Linked DNA regions of Danio rerio. The protein of the gene in region 2 interacts with the protein of the main gene of each other region in a pairwise test. Links are inferred from orthologs where the notes say so. Each region holds a gene or a part of one and is shown on either strand. Other genes may lie near its edges.

The links.
Region 1: the proteins of cdr2a (region 2) and pkn1a interact in binary tests that used the Homo sapiens proteins (3 or more experiments, as listed by UniProt). The link is inferred for Danio rerio from reciprocal best matches to the Homo sapiens genes CDR2 and PKN1.

Annotation. Positions count from the first base shown.
Region 1 is NC_133176.1:49,115,151-49,119,339, reverse strand, and holds the end of pkn1a (serine/threonine-protein kinase N1), read right to left. Parts: intron 3,978-4,189; coding exon 3,774-3,977; 3' UTR 588-3,773; downstream 1-587. UniProt on the Homo sapiens protein: PKC-related serine/threonine-protein kinase involved in various processes such as regulation of the intermediate filaments of the actin cytoskeleton, cell migration, tumor cell invasion and transcription regulation.
Region 2 is NC_133178.1:62,651,106-62,654,769, reverse strand, and holds part of cdr2a (cerebellar degeneration-related protein 2), read left to right. Parts: intron 1-3,160; coding exon 3,161-3,273; intron 3,274-3,664.

The sequences.
Region 1 (4,189 bases), on a different chromosome or scaffold from region 2:
TGTATACCCTTTTGCCCAGTTTAATAAAAGCATCTAATGTTAAAAATAAAAACCACAACCAATTTTAAAATGATTCCTTCCTTCCAGTATAATAAAACATTTAAAACATCAAATATTTGAGTTCCCGATACCAAAATAAGCTATTTTGTCACTCACAATGTCTTCACGAGCATATGCCGTTGACATAATCATAAAGTAAACAGCAAATGATGTTTCAGGGAAAATTGTGATTCTCTCACATGTGCAGTATTGAGATATAGCTAGAGAATATATAAAAAAAGTGTATTAAAAGACCACGAAAGTATAAAACAATAATCGTAATTTACTGCAACAATGAAATAACGGCGGAACTAATTCGCATTTCTCATTTCTGTCATTTGATGTACACTACATTCTACATCTATTGTTTGGCTTAAAGATTGAAGTTAAAGATGAAAAGATGGACAAAAAGCAGGGCAGAGAGGAACATTATTTTAAGGTATTTTCTTCAAACAAACTATATATAAAAGCTTTACTTGTCTTTGTAATAAATTCTTCAAGGTAACCATACTAAAAAGTGCACTTAATGAAATGGAGACCACACTGTCTTCAAACACGTCTGCTCTTCTGTATTTCAATATGCTTGACTTCCACATGTAACAGATGAAGCGCATGATGTATTTAGATATGAAATAACCCAGACTAAACAAGTCTAAAGAGGCTTAAACTCCATTAAGAGCTGGGACACATTCATCAAGTTTACTGTAAATCAGCCAACAATTCTGCTCTCAGTCTATCTCGTTTTTACATTTAAAGTCACAGTGTCTGCAGGAGAGTCCCTTAAACAAGTTCCTTTGAGTTTGTGGTCCACATCGGGTCTGGATAATGAAAGTTATTCAAACAGTATCATCCTGTTAGAATAGTTATAAGAAGAATGGAGAAAGAGTGAACAGAAATACACTTCCCAACATGCTCGTAACGTTTACATGTAAAAGTTCCATGAGATGTTTCTGTGTGACCTTTATTGACTTGCTTCTAGTTTTATAAAAGATCTTCACAATGTCTTTCATAAGACAAGATGCATTATTCAAAAGCGCATATGACACTTTAAGACAAACCATCAATTTTAGCAGATTTAACGATGCACTTGATAGTTTTTTCTTCTATTTTTAAACGTATATTATGATTACATATAAGTCATACCATTATTGGTTTCCAGAATGTTTTCTGTTGGTTTGCCAGGAAAGTTTTCTTAAAAAGTGTAAATAAAACATTCCCGGAACAGTTCTCTTCAAGCAGCCTCCCTAAAAAGCCTCCCGTTCTTATTAGGTTTCCAAAAATACTCAAATGGGAACCAAACAGAAACCATATTGGAATGTTCAATGTTTGCTGTGCTAATAAAATCAATTTAAATCTACAGGATAAAAGGTTGGGTGAAGAGGGTCACCAATTTGAGATCACATGACAAGCATAAATCAACGACGGCCAATTAAAAATAATCCATAACGGCGTTTGAAATTGCGTACTTCCATTCTATATAGTTCGCTTAAAACAGTATGCGAGCTGAGTAGTCTGTCCGTATAGCATTCGAAAAACGGTAGGTCAGATGACCTACTACTTCTGGCGAGATTCTGAAGTTCGCATTGGACGGATGCTACGCAATCCCATGATGCACTGTGAGCGAATTCCTGAATGGAAGTGAAGCGACGCAACTGATGTGAAGTAGGTTACATGATGATGACAAAATGGCAGATGTAGTACGTCCGAGTTCCATTCATACTACTGACTTACTGTATACAAAGTACTTTTCTAACGGCTGAGTAGTACGTTTAAATTCAAATGCAGTACTCACTGAGTAGTAGGCGATTTCGGGCGCATGTCTGTGCATGTCTGTATTCGAAATCGCTTCCTATATACCCTCATTCACTATACCCTACATTAGTCAACTAATATAATTTACTTATAGAGTGAAGGAGAAGAAGAAGACATAGGATTGATGCCACCTTGTGGTCAGACAAAAATATTATTTCAGTCTGCAAACTCAAACTGAAAAACGGAGGAGGGAGGTGGTTCGCAAACTGAAGAGCGGGGGTGGGAAGACGATTGCAAACTAAAGATCAGAAGGGTGAGGGGGTTAAGGTAGAAGAGGTGATCCTGAACTAAAGGCCACAGGGTGGGGGGAGGCGCCGAATTTCGTTGCAGGTCGGAGGGATGAGGAGTGCGGGCCGTGAGGGTGTTTAAAGTTTGAGTCCCCTGTTCTATACAGTATGAATGGAACTCGGATGTACTACATCTGCCATTTTGTCATGATCCATGTTCTACCGACATCAGTTGTGTCGCTTCACTGCCATTCATGAATTCTCTCGCGAAGCATTATGGGATACCGTAGCATCCATCTGATGCGCACTTTAGAATCTCGCTGGAAAAAATAGGTAAATTCAGACATACTACTCGGCCCACATACTGTTTTGGCATACTGTATAGTATGAAAGTATGTGATTTTGAATGCAGCCATTTAGTGTATAGTGGTTATTGCGGTGCATTGTGGGATTAAGTGCACTTTTTAACATCCACTATGGTTTTTGAGACCACTACAAATGGCTGCTGCCTCAAAGAGTGCACTATTTAAGGGGATAGGGGGCGATTTTAGATACAACCCGTATTGAACTTATTCTTTACACATGTGTAGGAATCTATTTGTCTCCAAACATCCAGTTTTACTGACTTCCATTGATTTTTAGACGTTAAAAACAGCTCGTTCTGCTGCTTGATATTGCGAAGTGGTATTTTCTTATTGTATTATTCTACTTTTAATGTACAGTCATGAACACACTTGTTTGCAGAGCAAGTAGTTTGACCGTTTCTGTCGTTTATTATCCCTAGTCATTTCTGCCATAGGTAACTAAATCGGAAGTTCTAAAACAGAGGCTGCGTCCGAAATCGCCTACTACTCAGTAGGTACTGCATTTGAATTTAAACGTACTACTCGGCCGTTAGATAGAAGTACGTTCTATACAGTATGAATGTGAAAAGTATGAATGGAATTCGGACGTACTACATCCGCCATTTTGTCATGGCCACGTGACCTACCTGCGTCAGTTGCGTCGCCTCACTTCCATTCATGAATTCTCTCACGGGGCATTATGGGATAGCACAGCGTGCATGAGATGCGCACTTCAAAATCTCGCCAGGAAGTAGTAAGTCATCCGGGTACTTCTCGCCTACCGATTTTCGAATTCTATGAATTCGGACATACTACTCGGCTCACATACTGATTTTAGCGTACTGTATAGTATGGAAGTATGCAATTTCGGACGCAACCAGAGTCCTGGAGGGCCAGTGTCCTTCAAGGTTTAATTCCAGCTCCAATCAGACACACCTGTGTTATCTAATCAAGCTTTACTAGGCTTTCTAGAAACATCCGTGCAGGTGGGCTGAGGCAAGTTGATGCCTGTAATACACCGGACGTCCAGGACCTAGTTTGGGCAAAAACCCTGTTCTAAAACAATCGCACTGAAGAATAAGGTCAATACAGTCGGCTAATTGAATTCTTCAGTGTGATTCAACCATACCACTAGCCGTCAGTGTGATTTATCAAGTGCACCTTTAAATCTGCCACCAACTAACTATTTCCATCTTTGATCCATTTCTAACTGTATTCCAGACCTTTTCCTCCATCACAGTGTTTCTCAGGTCCAGCACATTCACAATTCACACACTCAAATTGGCCACTCTTGTCCTCCTGGTCACGGAGGAGAAATGTCTCTATAAGCACGATCACAGTGAAGCCGCTCTCAGCAGAGGTCAGACACATAGTCGAAGTCCCGGAAACTGTCCTGATCTTTGCGCGAAAGCACTCGAGGCTCGCGGGGAGGAGTGAGAGTCGGCGCTTCTGTCGTGAACTCCTCATCAAAGTTGCTGACGTCTTCTTTTCCTCCGATGGATGGAATAAAAGGAGGAGGGAGTTTGCGGAGGAGAAGAGCCTCCCAGTCCATATTCTGAGGGAAAGAAAAAGAAGACAAGCTTATTACAGGGTTCCCACGTTTTCCCGAACAACAGACTTATATCACTCAATTTTCATCATAGATGCCCTTTAAGATTTCTCTGTTTTTTCCTTCTGTTTTTGACAATTGAGTACAACTCATTGAATATACACATAAACAAATTTTATTTTACATGTAATTTAAGCACTTTCAAGGACCTATGTTAA
Region 2 (3,664 bases):
GCACCTATGGTGAAAAATTTACTTTTCACGCTGTTTGGACAGACGTGTGTAGGTTTAGTGTATAAACAGTCATATAGGGGTGATATAAACACACCCAGTCCTTGTTTTTCAATTTAACAACATAAAAATGGTGGACCAATTGGAGCGGTTTTTTAGACCGACCGCAACTTTACGTAGGAGAGCGGTCCCCCCGCCCATCAATATTGATTGACAGCCTCGCGTCACAATCATATCCTCAGTTTCTTGTTTCAAGTCTGCCATTTTCAGCGTGTGAGTCAAAGCGATATCACTAAAGTAACACCCGTGCTCTATTTTTAGATGAAAGGCTCATTGGGCTCAACACAAGTTCAATATTCTCCACATCATCGCTCTAATTGGAATTATTGCTTGTACCTTTTGCGTAGCGCTGTGCTTTTCGGGGTTCTGGACGCGGGTTTCTGTCAAGGTGCACGCGGCGGGGCTTCGGTTTGGCGGCTCGATGGTCGCGCCGCCGTTGTGTTTGCCCTGGTGGAGGTTTGTGTTTGGAGTTCTGGAATGCCTGGCACGACGATTAGGGACACTTCATGTTTTGTGCCGTGTCGCTGCGCATTCGGTGCCTCAGTCAAAGTTAATTCAGTGTGTGTGGTTATTAGTCTTGGTGTACAAGCTCGGCACTTGTACACCGAGACTATACAAACTATACCAAGACACAAATGATCTGTGTCCGAGTCGTACATGTACGGCTAAATGCTTATCCTAGCTTAGCTTAGCTTCTCTCTCTGTCTGTCAGCCTGTCTGTTGCAAACACAGAGCGTGGGAGCTCTTGACTCCGCCCCCTTGTTACATTGGCTGGGAGCCGAAACTAATTTTCATGTGAAGCAACACACCCCTAAAACAGCGAGCGGTGTACACACCCCCAACATGATACTTTTAAACACATTATAATGAAAACATCTGAACTGTGTTGAACTGAACCTGAACTGGCACACTCAGAACAACCAGAATATTAATATTAAATCATAAAAAGGGATAAACTATGTGCCCTTTAATTTAACTAACTAAACAGCATTTATTAATCTTAATATCATCAATTTCAGTAATTTAAAGATCAGTGGTTAACGTCTGGTAATCAGCTAAAGACCTGCTTTAATTTGTTTAACATATTAACTAATGTACAAAAATAAGGCCTTACTCTATTGCCAAAGGACATTTGAATCTGTGTACTGTACATGATGTATCCCATTTGGTGTTTTATTTGCTCATGTATTTCAGAATAAATACAAATATTTAATGCTGAAAAGTGTTTTATTTTGTAAATATAATGTAGATAATGCTTTCATTCCTCTGATAATAATAGGGGTGAGTGTTGTGCTGGGACTTTGTTTGCACTTGGCAGGACGCCTTTTCCTTCTTTCTCTCCAAAGCAGTGGTAATATGTATTTGTTTTTAAGGAACTCGTGTATTCATTATAGGTCTAAAATGTTAAATGATTTGTTATTCACAGAATATGTCTCAGAGACAGTATTCTGCCTTATGATATATTATATAACAACATTTATAAAGAATTAATATCTAGATATGTGTGGAATTTTGTTGCATCATTCTGCATTAGCTGGCCTGTGGTAATAATAATCATTATATCAGCTTATTGCGCAAAAAAAATGACCATAATAATTTTCGATGATGCAATTTTCGATTGGGCAGCCTCTGTCGTCTTATCTAATCTCAGCTTTGAGTCAAAGAGTTCAGGTTTAAAAACAATTAATAGTTATTGCTGGATGTAGAAAAGCTGATTATCAAAACTTGTCATATTTTCATATCAACTATTTACAGAATCATTCCAGTATATGTGTAAATATTCTTTTCTAAACCTCCTCCACCCTTTTCCCACCCTCACAAGACCACAAGCACACTGAAATGGATACATTTGTGAGACATTGAGCTGATGTGTTAAAATAAGAGGAAAAGACAAGTACACAAGCAATGATGACTAATAAAAGATTAAAGCAAGGAAGAGTTATCCTTATCCCATCAGCATTTTCAGTCAATATAATGTCGAAAAATCTGAATTTTCACACTTTCCTCTAGAGGTGTGAACCTATACTGGTCTCACGGTTCGGTTATGATTATCATGCCTTTGGTTCAATTCAATATCTCGGTGCATCACGGTGCATTGACGATGCTTTCCATATACAGTGTTATATTTTAGGGGGGAGGCTATAACAAGCTGTCTGTATAAACACACAGACACACAGCACCACACTGTCTCTCATTCAAACACATTCACAAACATAGACAGCACCAAACAAACAAACACACACGCACGCACTAAAGCCCTCGCAACAGGGAGAGCTCGCGCTGAGCAGAGCAGAAAAACGTAAAAAAACGAAAAAAATAAGCACTTTTGCGATGTCCCTTACTGAGAGCTCCTCTCAGCGTGAGCTCTCCCGGCTAAACACATTTGCGAGGGCTTAAACGAAGCAGTGCTCGTAATGTCGAGCGAAAAAAAAGAAAGACAGCTGTGAAACATAACCAGCTTTGTCTTTTTGTAGGAAACACACTTTAGATCTTTTTAGGGTGAGAGGTTTTTGAGTTATTGTCGCTATAACTGAATGTGTGTCAGGAATGTTGAAAACAAAACCAACTGAACCGCGCTCATTTCTGGCGCCCTCCTGGATATACAGCGCCCTTAGCATTTGCCTATGGTGCCTATGCCACGGGCCGGCCCTGAGTTGGCTGAGTGTTGTAAATACTCGCGCTCACCTCCCTCGCGACAGAGCGCATAGGAGATAAATGACGTCAGTATATAATAAACGGTTATGATTATTACTGAACTGATACCTTATTGTCCGCGTCTGCATCGCGGTGCACCAAAGAAACAATTAATTTTGACACCCCTACTTTCCTCAATCTTGTAATGGTTTGGAAGTTGTCCATATGAGCTCTGTTTCACACAACAATAATAATTTATCATGACAGGCTTAAGCTTAATATTTATTTATTTAAAATGAAACGATATGCTTATTTTGAGCTGTGTACATGCACTCTACCGGTCAAAAGTTTGGGATCGGTAGGATTTTAAAATGTTTTAAAATATCCGCTGTGATTGTGCATCGGGCTGGATGACGTCTGCTGTTTTCCTCCATCTTACTGTGCACTCTCCTGTGTTTGTGTGTGACAGATCTGCACTTGGCTGCTGAGCTGGGCAAGACTCTGCTGGACAGGAACCATGAGCTGGAGCAGGGCCTTCAGCAGATGTACTCCACCAATCACGAGCAGCTGCAGGAGATCGAGGTGAAGCTTCTAATAAACAAAACACACACACACACACACACACACACACACACACACACTTCTCAGATCATAACACACACTCTCCCACTCAGATCACAGCACACACACTCACTGCTCAGACTATAACACACTGATATTGATGGAGGAAACTCTCTCTTTCTCTCTCTCAATGCTCAGACCTTAACACACACACACCACACACTGCTCAGAACATGATATACACACGGTCGCGTCAGCAGAAACATACAGCTGTGCAGAGGACTGGAGGAAACACAGACACACCTACTGCTTAGAAAATAACACACACACACACACACACACACACACACACACACACACACACACACCCTATGTAATATAGTTCCACCCTACGTAATATAATCAAACACAA